Linked DNA regions of Schizosaccharomyces pombe. The protein of the gene in region 1 purifies or fractionates together with the protein of each later gene. This does not show direct contact. Each region holds a gene or a part of one and is shown on either strand. Other genes may lie near its edges.

The links.
Region 2: the proteins of apc2 (region 1) and nuc2 purify together in Schizosaccharomyces pombe (affinity purification with western blotting, with the first as the bait; one study listed by BioGRID). This does not show direct contact.

The regions. Positions count from the first base shown.
Region 1 is NC_003423.3:1,998,599-2,004,098, forward strand, and holds apc2 (anaphase-promoting complex cullin family subunit Apc2), read left to right. Parts: upstream 1-2,310; 5' UTR 2,311-2,536; coding exon 2,537-3,772; intron 3,773-3,816; coding exon 3,817-4,436; intron 4,437-4,481; coding exon 4,482-4,671; 3' UTR 4,672-5,000; downstream 5,001-5,500. Other genes in the region: mediator complex subunit Med14, read right to left, coding at 1-330; V-ATPase assembly factor Pkr1, read left to right, coding at 1,300-1,487, 1,568-1,778; sdh7 (ACN9 family protein), read right to left, coding at 1,714-1,761, 1,877-2,176; SWI/SNF and RSC complex subunit Ssr4, read left to right, coding at 5,118-5,276, 5,324-5,467. UniProt on the Schizosaccharomyces pombe protein: Component of the anaphase-promoting complex/cyclosome (APC/C), a cell cycle-regulated E3 ubiquitin-protein ligase complex that controls progression through mitosis and the G1 phase of the cell cycle.
Region 2 is NC_003424.3:4,496,243-4,501,391, reverse strand, and holds nuc2 (anaphase-promoting complex TPR lobe subcomplex subunit Apc3), read right to left. Parts: upstream 3,297-5,149; 5' UTR 3,261-3,296; coding exon 2,957-3,260; intron 2,912-2,956; coding exon 2,741-2,911; intron 2,635-2,740; coding exon 1,112-2,634; 3' UTR 811-1,111; downstream 1-810. Other genes in the region: 1-acylglycerol-3-phosphate O-acyltransferase Slc1, read right to left, coding at 1-369, 433-758; alpha-aminoadipate reductase phosphopantetheinyl transferase Lys7, read right to left, coding at 3,603-4,316, 4,360-4,422; tif471 (translation initiation factor eIF4G), read left to right, coding at 5,088-5,149. UniProt on the Schizosaccharomyces pombe protein: Component of the anaphase-promoting complex/cyclosome (APC/C), a cell cycle-regulated E3 ubiquitin-protein ligase complex that controls progression through mitosis and the G1 phase of the cell cycle.

The DNA.
Region 1 (5,500 bases):
AAATGACAACTGGTAACGAATATCTTGTAACACATGAACTAAATTCTGGAAGCAAAATTTTTGACCTTGAAGAAAGGCTACAACATCTATGCATCGATGAACTGAAGGAGATAGATGTACCCAACGCGCTAAAACTAGCAAACGCATAGTGAAAGCGCGCGAACGTAATAACCAATCTAAGATCTTTTTCTTTTTCTCGACATTTGACATAGAGGGTAGAACTTCGGCTAAAGACACCAATTCTTGTAACACATGATGACTAAAAGTTTCTACTATCTCAGGAAGAGGATAAAATCCTTCTGTAATGTGTGGAATCGCAGGCGGTTCCATCCTCAATTGGAGGAGTTAGGAATTTCGTGTAATAGCGCCTTTAATTAGCCGATCCTTTACCAAAACTAAATTTCGTAATAAACATAAGTTTTGTTCTTTTAAAAACCCTTAAAAAGGATTCTTTATATCTCTTTTACAGAAATCTTCGAGTAGCGTGCCAAAAGCAACTTCACACAGCTCCCGTGAAACTCTTCGATAACCTTCGTTACGCCATTCACTGAGATTGTTAAAACGCCTTAGGTTTATTCATTCAAAAAATTGGAATAATCAATAAATAAGCAATTTTAAATGGAATTAAATAATAATTGATCAATGATATTACTAAAATGGGAGATTTTGAATAAATTTGAGCTAGTATAAACATGCCCTGTTATGCGATAATCGCATAAAACATAGTTTGAAACTATGGATAATGAAGAATAACAAATGAGATGGAACCGTTCAAAAAGATTCTCGTAATTCTATAGTAGTTAAAAAGCCCCTTCTTTAAACTGAACGAAAATCATCATTAAAGCTGTTCAAACTTTGCTATCAATTTTAATCAGAGCTTCAGCGTGTCTCATTAAAATGATAATAAAACAGTAATTTAGAAGAGCTAAGCCGAAAAATAACATTTGTTTTGATCATTTAATTATTTTCTCCACGACCACAAGAAGCTGACAAAAAATTTTTAATATAGCAAAACAAAAGTAGAGCACTATTCCATTTGAATGATTCAAAGCTCTATTAACAATAAATTTGGACAAATGGAAGCATAACCTTCGGTTTTAATAGTAGTATAAGATATGGATTTCTTGAAATCCATTTTAACTTTTAATGAACTCCAACATCGGTCTCGTTGCTAAATTAATTCAATAGCACACGCACACTATAAAGGCCAGATTTTATCGCTAGAACACAAACGGTGGTTTAACAACGTCAATTCATAGCTACTACATTTCCAAGTAGTATTCCAATAAGAAAAAGATCATGTCGTATTGGGTGGAACTATGGGAATCAATTTTCACACCAGGTGTCACACCTGTATTGGCTAAGTCAGCACACGTAGCCTGTGGTGCACTTGTCGCTGTTTTTCTTGGACTTTATATAGGTACAAAAAGTATTCATTGTCTCATCTTATTTTTCCTGGCAATCTGTTTGTGGCTGTCGCTAACATGGTACGTTTATCCATGAGGAAGTTGAACATCTCGTTCACTTTTTTACGAGTAGTCCAGATCATTCATTAACAACTTTATAGGTTTTTGGTTGAGCTTGCACATGCTCGAGTTAATAACGATTTGCAGATGTCGTCTCAAAGTGCCAATAAAAATGACGACAACTCAAACAATCAAAATCCTTCTAATAACAAAGAGATGTCTGATAAAGAATCAGATTCCGCGACCACTACTCAGACTTTTTCTGTTCCTGAAGAGCTTTTGAGAGCTCGTACAACTGCCAATAATAGTTAGAAACTATAGGTCCAAAAAAAGAAGCAATAAGTTCAAGAGCACTGGTAAAAGTTCTCTTCTTTTAATAATAAACCTCAATCTAATATAAGTTTTCTTACCTGTCCGATTTGCTGGTCATTTAAAGATTCTAGTAGATCCGTATTACTGTATTTTTCCTGTTTCCAGCTCTCGTTTTCTAGTGCATCCGCATACCTCTCCCACGAGCTTAAAAATCCTACTAAATGCAAAGGATTTGTTACGTTCCGATGTCTTCGAAATTCCGCCTTTACATATTCATCTCCTAAAGCTCGTTCTTCTGCTCCTAGGTGATAGCGATGCGCTCTCAACACCCTTCGGTACAGAGGCAAAGGAGGTGTCAAAATATTCTTTTGTTTCATTAATTTCGTTATGTTATTCATTGGTATATGATTTTCTTTAGATACCGTCTTTTCAAAAATTGAATTCCTTTTAAGTTTCTTGTTGTGGTTGTGATGTGGAAGGCAGTTTGCTATTCATCGCATTCACACTAACAATTGCAAGGTCTTCTTCTACCAAATGTAAACAATACCACCAGAAGATATACTAGTAGGAAAAGTGAGTGTTCCTTCAATCATTTGTCTTGAAATCTTCAATTTTTAATTCCTTTTTCTTTTGAAAACATTACTTTGTGTTATCGGACTACGTAGAAAGGACTTGTCGATTTGGTATCGATTATTTGTAGTTGCTTGAATTCATTTATTTTAAGATTAAAGTATTTATCAGAAAAAATTAAAAGCATAATGAATGATACTGATCTGTCCACCTTTACTGGCCGTTCGTTGTTGATCGATCAATTGAGCTCAGTCACACAGGGAACACCAGTATTGGATTTTATTGACAAGTTGAGAATTCATTTCTATACCACTATTCGCCAAAATCTCTTAAAGATTGATTTAAAAAACATATGCAGTCTACACGACTTAACGGACCAACTAAGTGACTTTTGGCTTGTTTACGAACAGAGTGTCTTAGAAAGTCCTATTTTAAGTCCTGAACTCGACCGAATCCTTACATGCTTCCGTTGCCTTTGTAGAAGGTACTTGCCCATTTCGGTGATTGAAAGCGTTCTAACAGAATATCTGGATCAAGTTTTAAAAGTATGGTTAGAGAGTAAAACGAATCCTTGTTTGGATATGGAGAAATTTTTTCAATTGTGTGAAAAATTTAAGCAGCTGGGGCTGTCTTCTGTGTTAAAAGAAAGGTTTGTATATGTATTGCAGTTGCATGTCGGCTCTCTTTTAACAACACGGTATGCGATGTCTTGGGAGCAGAGTGTTTACCATGAAGCATTGGAGTGGATTCGCACCGAATTTGGGGTTCTTGTTGAACATGTATTTTCATTGTCGAATCCAGCGGTTTTGGTTCAGTTAGACCATCTTGTTTCTCAAATACTTGCTCATTTGCGATCAGACAACATTCTTGATATTGTTCTTCATTACCCCAATTCACTAGGCGCAATTGAAGACTTGCGTTTAGTTGCCCGTCAAAAACAGCAACGTCAATATTTAACCGAAACTTTTGTGAAAGATTGTACAAGTAGTATTTTGACCGCTAGCAGTGATAGCTCCTATATTCTTTTGTTCTATGTCTCTACCATTCGTTGTTTTGTTGCATTAGACCCCCCTGGTGTTCTTTTAGACAAAGCTGCCAAACCCATTCGTTCTTTTCTAAATGAACGAGAAGATGCATATAAATGCTTGGTTTCCTTATTGTTTGTTGACGGTGAAAAAGGCCTACGCTCTGAGCTTTCTCAAATTCCCACTGAAAACATCGACTCAACAACGGATCGATTTGATAATTACCACTGGATGCCGGATCCGATTGATGCGGCTCCTGACTTTAAAAAACCAACCGATAGAGACGTTGTTGGAAGTCTCATTTCCATTTTTAAAAGCAAGGAGCCCTTAGTGAAGGAATTACAATTGTTACTAGCTGATCGACTTTTACAACTTACAGATTATCATTATGAAGTTGAGGTTTGTTTTATTCTATTTAAGTTGAATTTTCTAACGTTTTTTAGGCAAAAAATATAGAGTTTTTAAAGTATCGATTTGGAGAGACTGTTCTGCAAATGTGTAGTGTTATGCTGAACGATATTGAGAATTCAAGATTTATTGATCAGAGCATCCACATGGAGAACTATGTTTCGAAAGGTTTGCACGTAACTATTTTATCAAGATTATTTTGGCCTACTTTGTCTGTTCGATATTTTCATTTACCTGGCCCTCTGAAAAAAGAACTCGATGCATATGCTGAAGAATACAGAGAAAGAAAGAGAAAAAGGGAGCTTGTTTTTTTACCCAACTTAGGATCGGTAGAGTTGGAAATTGAGCTTGAGGATAGAACACTCACGTTGACAGTTACACCGGAGCAAGCTGCCTTTATATCACTTTTTGAAGAGACTTCTACATTACATATTGAGAAAGCTGCTGAACTTTTAGATCAGCCGAAAGAAATAGTTGAGCGACATTTGAAATTTTGGCTTCATCATCGAGTGCTTACCGACATCGGCGACGACCGATATCGTGTTCGTGAAACTGAAGCCGAAACCGCGACAGAAACTGTACTTGATGAAATCCAAGGGGTATCAGCTGTTCAAAGTGAAGCCGAAAGCAGTGCCGCTGAGATGCGTGTTTACTGGTATGTTTCTTTATTAAAACTAAAATTTGTAATTAATAAAAAAAGGTCTTTTGTTGTAGGAATGTTGACGAACCTTGGAGCTCTTGAGCTTGAACGAATTCACAACATGCTCACGATGTTTATCCCACCGCCAAACGGCTATACTCGTACCCAGAGCGAGCTAAGAGAATTTCTAGCATTAATGATCAAAGAGGAAAAGTTGGAGTTTACTGGAGGAGCTTATAAGCTCAAATAATTAATGGCTATAGAATCCTTTGTCTGTTAAGAAAAGCCTTGGGATTTTTATGAACTTTTTTATGGACATCTCATTTAATTTTACGAAAACCATCACTTATACATTGCATGTCTATTGGCATATTGTCTACTAATGATTAGCAGCTAACTGTTACTATTTAAGTATGTCTTTACATTCATGCTCTTGTTTAGCTATTTACGATTCTACGATGGTTAAACGGATCTGATCAAGATAGTTGTAATGAACACAGAGACACTAGAGTATGTTTATACATTACCTAGAGTTTCGTATAGATACTGTAAATATTAGAAATTTCATTTAAACAGTGAAAACTGATGTAACATCGTTATATGAAATAGTGCAACAGAACAAAGCCAAAACTTCTGCATCTTGATAGATATGAGTAAGTTGTACCATCCAAAACTTACATATAATTAAAATCAACAATGGCGGCTACAATGGCAGCTCAGAGTCTATTATCGATTCCAGTGGAATACCGATCTCAGGTATGGTGTCGAGCGAATTTACCATATCCACCAGCACCACAATTACCAATCCCTGCTGTCGTAGATATATTAACAAAAGCGTCCCAGGCTTTACCACAGGTAGTTTTTAGAAGACTTCAATATATGTTTTTTCTAACAAATTTTAGATTTCATTTTCTTGGACTCTCATAGATCAACCACCAGATGGTTCCTTGTTTTTAGTTTGGCAAGCACCTACATTACCATCTCCACCAGATGGAATGCATTTTATGAGCAATGAAAGGTTTTTTAATATGGACGTTGCAGGAAAGGTAAGTTGCTCACAAGCACTGCGGTATAAGGGA
Region 2 (5,149 bases), on another chromosome or scaffold:
CCTTTATTGAATACTTTGGTAGGAGGATGAAACAAATGACCATAAGTCTGAATTGCAATAGGAATAATGGGTACTTGAGCCTGTACAGCAAGGTGAAATGCGCCCTTTTTCAAGGGAAGAAGACAGGGCTTAAGGCTATAGGAACGAGTGCCTTCTGCAAATACCCAAATAGAAATATTTTCTTTGCGCATTCTTCGTGCCGCTTTCGCAAAAAGTTGAATCGCATCACTTCGGCGAGACCTATCGATAAATACAACGTCAGACAATATCATAAACCATCCCAAAATGGGCACATATCTTAGAGACTTTTTAGCAATAACAGAATAATTAGGGCCAAAAGTCCTTCCTATAGCCAAAATATCCAATTCACTAATTAAAATTGTAAGTCAGTTATTTTTTATCATAAAGAAGTATATTTTGAGGTATGCTTACGATTGATGATTAACTACTAAGACAGCAGACTTATGTTTTCTCAAAATTTCCTCGTTTTCGATTTTAAACCGAAAGTCAAGGATTGTACTAGCCAGTCCATAATATGCCTTTGCAGTTAAATATTGTCCCATTACGGGATAACCACATAAACGTGCAACAACTGAGGCTATAACCCCATAAGCAGAACTAATAGCTAAAAATGTGTGACATGCGAAATAGCGAAAGTGATATCTAATACATTTCGGGAGAGTAAAAAATCGGTTGATTCCGCACAAACCAACAAATACTGTCACAGTAGCAAGCAGCGTGCTCTTAATAAAACCCATTTCGAATATGTACACAGTAGAGAAGAGCAAACTTTCAACAACCCTTCCTTTCGTTTTAAAGTATGGTTGGTGCGGTGATAGTAACGTTGGTGATTCGTAATAAAAATGAATGGCCTGAGGACATTTCATTAATTGCACACTTTAAACTTAAGTTATACCCACGGTGATTTTATACACAATTTTTTTTATCATTGGTTATTAATGATATCTATTATACCTTTATTTTAATATATAACTTCTAAACGAAAATCATCATTTTTAAACCTAACCAGAATGAAGACGTAAACATTCTAACTCATTAACTTATTCATTCGACAATTTTTTGGCATCCCTAAAATACAAGACATAATTTCTTAAGTTTCCAGATTCCTATAAATTTCACCTGTTTCAGTTAACAAATTTTCTTCGGGAATATCCAGATTTTCAATCGATTCCTTAATAATATGCGTAGCCTTGCCGTCTAAGTTCCATGCTATAGTGAAGTGCTTTAAGGCTAAATTTTTTTTCCGCATTTGCTTGAAAATTTTGCCGAGCAAAAAATGAACATTTGCTTCATCTGGCGCAATTGCCTTTAATTGTTCCAATTCAACGAGTGCTTTATCGTGATCATGTAATAAAATAAGCACTTTGGCTTTCTTGAACCTGGCAAGCGAAGACTTTTCATCCAGTTTACATGCCCGATCATAAAAATCAAGTGCTTTTTTGTAATCTTTGCAGCGTTCGTAAATCATACCAATACAAGTGATGAGTACAGAGTTGTTAGGATTGATCTCTGCAGCACGTTGAAAATGAAAGTCTGCTTGATCATTTCGCCCTGTTTTTAAATAAACCATTCCCAGGCCATACCATGCATTGTAATGTCGAACATTTACTCTAATTGCTTTGCGGAAAGATGTTTTCGATTTTTCGTATTCTTCGTTTGCAGAATGCTCGTGCCCTTGAAGCGTATAAGCATATTCAAAAGTTGGATCCAATTGAATAGCTCTATTAATACATTTTAATGCCTGCGAGTGTTCACGTTGAAGTGAGAAGCAATTAGCAAGAATGCACCATGATTCTGGGGAATAAGGATTAGTTTCCAAAGTTTCATGGGCAAGGTAAGATAAAGGAACAGACTTTTGCAAATGCCAAAGTGCAGTTGAAAAGACTTCCATATCTTTGACACGTGAAGGCGACAAGTCCCTTAATTTTTGAAACACTTCTTCAGATTTTTCGTAATCAACCAGTTCAAAGTAGGTTATTCCAAGCTTTGCAAGAACAAAAGGTGTATTTTGCTGTTCGATGGGCAAGCTTTGGAAACAATTTAAAGCCTCTCGTAACTTATACTGGGCGAGCAGGTAAACACCCTTACCGAATAACTTTAGTAATTCCATCAAATTATTGTCCTCTTCGCGGAAGCTTTGAGGTGTGCTCTCTCCTCTTTTAGAACTTCTCGCTTCGCGTAATTTATATGTTAAACGAGCTCCTGGTCTTAATGCTTGGGTTCTAGGTTCCACAAAGTGGGATTTTAAAGACGTATCCCTATTGTTAGAATCAGCTTTTTGAGCATCATTGAAAGCCAAAAGGTTTTTGCTAGTCTGAGATTGAGATTGTAATTTCAAGCTTTGATGTCGTTCCTTCTCACTTCCTGGAAGCTCAGAAGCGTCAACCCTATCAAACCACTTAGTAAATGCTGAAATGGATGAGTTTGAATAACTATTTGCTATCGATTCAGAAACCGAAAACTTGTTGGAAGATGAGGAAGACTCTTTACTTTTCTTCAAAAAAGACGGTTCTGGTACCGAAGCTGTAGCATTCGTTTGAGATTTTTCAAAACCCTTCATTGCCGTAAGGTAGGGTGGAATAACAAATACATTATTAGCATCGAGTGGCACGCCTATTCAGCAAAATATATTAGCACAATTATAGAAATAAACGAAAATAAGTATTTTTTTTTGACAAAAGTGAATTTACTAATTCACAACAAAACATCTGTCACATACCTATTGCAGTTAAATTCTGGAAAGCAGAGAAATTATATGGGTTAATGGAGACAGCTTCTACAAAACAATCTGTAGCTTTTTTGAGGAACCCTGCCTTTTTATACATAGTACCCAAAACATCAAGCATGCAAGAGGCATCTGGATGTCCACGACTGCTAATTGAGTCATTTACTAGATAACTTAGTTAGAGGTTTCGCGAAATAAATCACCACATACTGTTTGGCTGAATGGAGCGCCAATTCGATCGACAGGCCTCCACAGCACTTATTCCTTGTTTATATCTGCCTAAAATAAGGCTGGTCCTTGCAAATAAGTATGTGCAAGGAACATGACTAATTACTCTATCTAATAAGTCGTATACAATATTGTAATCGAGGTTTAGGAAATGCGAATATGCCAAAAGATACAAACTCTCGTTTGAATCTTCAATTGCATGTAAACGTTCTGAATAAAAAATTGAATTATCATAATTCTGATTATCAATGCAATACCATATTAAACATTTCAATCGATCTGTCATGACAAATCTATTAAAGTTTTGGAAACGATGGGAGTTAATGTCAACAAAAACATGTGGGTACAAACAGGTGGTTGTTATTGTTTGAGCTCCATCGTTAAGATATGTTAAATCTTATAAAGCAATGTAGCATTTTAGTAAAAAAAACATATAAACAAAAATAGGTAAATCATCTGGATGGTGTATAGAGTTGTGTAAACTCTGATAAATCCAAAAAGAGTTTGGGTAAATTATCAGAGAATAAAAAAACACTACTAATGCAACTCGATCCAAGCATTAAGGGAGACAGGCAAAGGAGGCATCACGGTCTAAAACAATGCGATGATACATGTTAATAAAAAAAAATTACAAGTCGTTCAATGTCTCCCAATTTAGATCCATTATTACGCAGTCTTGTGGAAAGGCGACACTGACGTAAAAAGTACTAGAGTGAAGTATTAGTTTATGAATTTCCAAGTCCCAAGAATATCCTGAATACACTGCAGTTGCTGCTCTTCTTAAAGACACTTCCTCGGAATTTAACAGCTCATTTAATTTATGAAATGTTACCACAATATCCAAAGGGTTTCCACTTAATCCGATACCGAGTGCTTTCAAAATCGCTTCTTTGCAAGTCCAGAGCAAAAAAAAAACATCAATACTAGAAATTGAACTTTTAATCAACTTCCATTCGCAAGGAGTAAATACACTCATGAAATCTTCCATCCATGATGCTTCAAAAGCTAACGGTTTACATTCGACGATGTCAACTCCAATATTGATCGGTCGCATTCCTGAAGGATCTGATGGAAGCCATGCTCCTACTACAATTACGATTCCCCCATAGTGGGATACATTAAAGTCAAATATAATAGGAGGACAGTGTGCTGATTGGCAATACGGTCTCCCGGCTTTTGTGACAGAAATTTGTACTTCATTTGGTGAACATTCGAGAGCCGTGGAGACTAAGTGCCTTTTAATAAGTATAGAAGCCAATGCCATTTTAGCATCCATGTCGAAATAGTACCTCTCAATTTGTTGTCGCTCAGAATCGCTCAGTTTTTTAAAACTGGGTATCCTCTAACGTATTAGAAAAATTGTTTAGATAAAACTAAAAACATACAGTTCTTTCAAAAGGCCATGCTTCTTGAGTATCTATTAATAACCTATATACTTTTTGTTTCATATATTGCTATTTAAATCGAATGAAATACTCTTCAATGAGAAACTACAATAAACAATGCCAGAATTTCCAGGAAACACAAAAACAAGAATCACTCATAAACTCGAAACCAACCAGAAGAAGAGTATAATTTCGTTAGAAGGCAATCAAGATAATTTCTACCAATAAATAGTAACATGAATTATGAAGCGTGACATTAACGCAAGTCGACAGTACTTTCCGAAAAAATATATTTTTTGTTCTACCTTGGAGAACAGCTTTTCTTTAATTTGCGAATATCTATTAACAGTCATAAAACGTGTTTATCGCAGAAGATTTAATTTCGTTAAATTTACTGATAGAACGTAAGCGGCACAATTTGAAGAGTTTGCTGCTTCGTTCTATTGCTTCTCTTGACCACCACCACTAACCCAACCACTTCAGTTGAAAATTTATTATCAACTCATCTGGAGGGTATTTTAATATTTAACGGAATACAGAACGTTACATTTGTTTGTCTTGTTCCGTTCCAATAATAATCTATAATTGGTGTTCTTTCTTTCAGTAGAAATAGGAAGAAAAGAACTCGGTTGTTGTATATAAAACAAACGAACTAATTTAAGGTTTTAATATTCGGTGGTCTCTTCAGTTTTATTACTTTGAATAATTGTAGATAAACGAAGAGTATAATGTCTTCAAAACCACCGTCAAATACTCCAAAGTTTAGTTATGCTCGTGCCTTGGCCAGCAG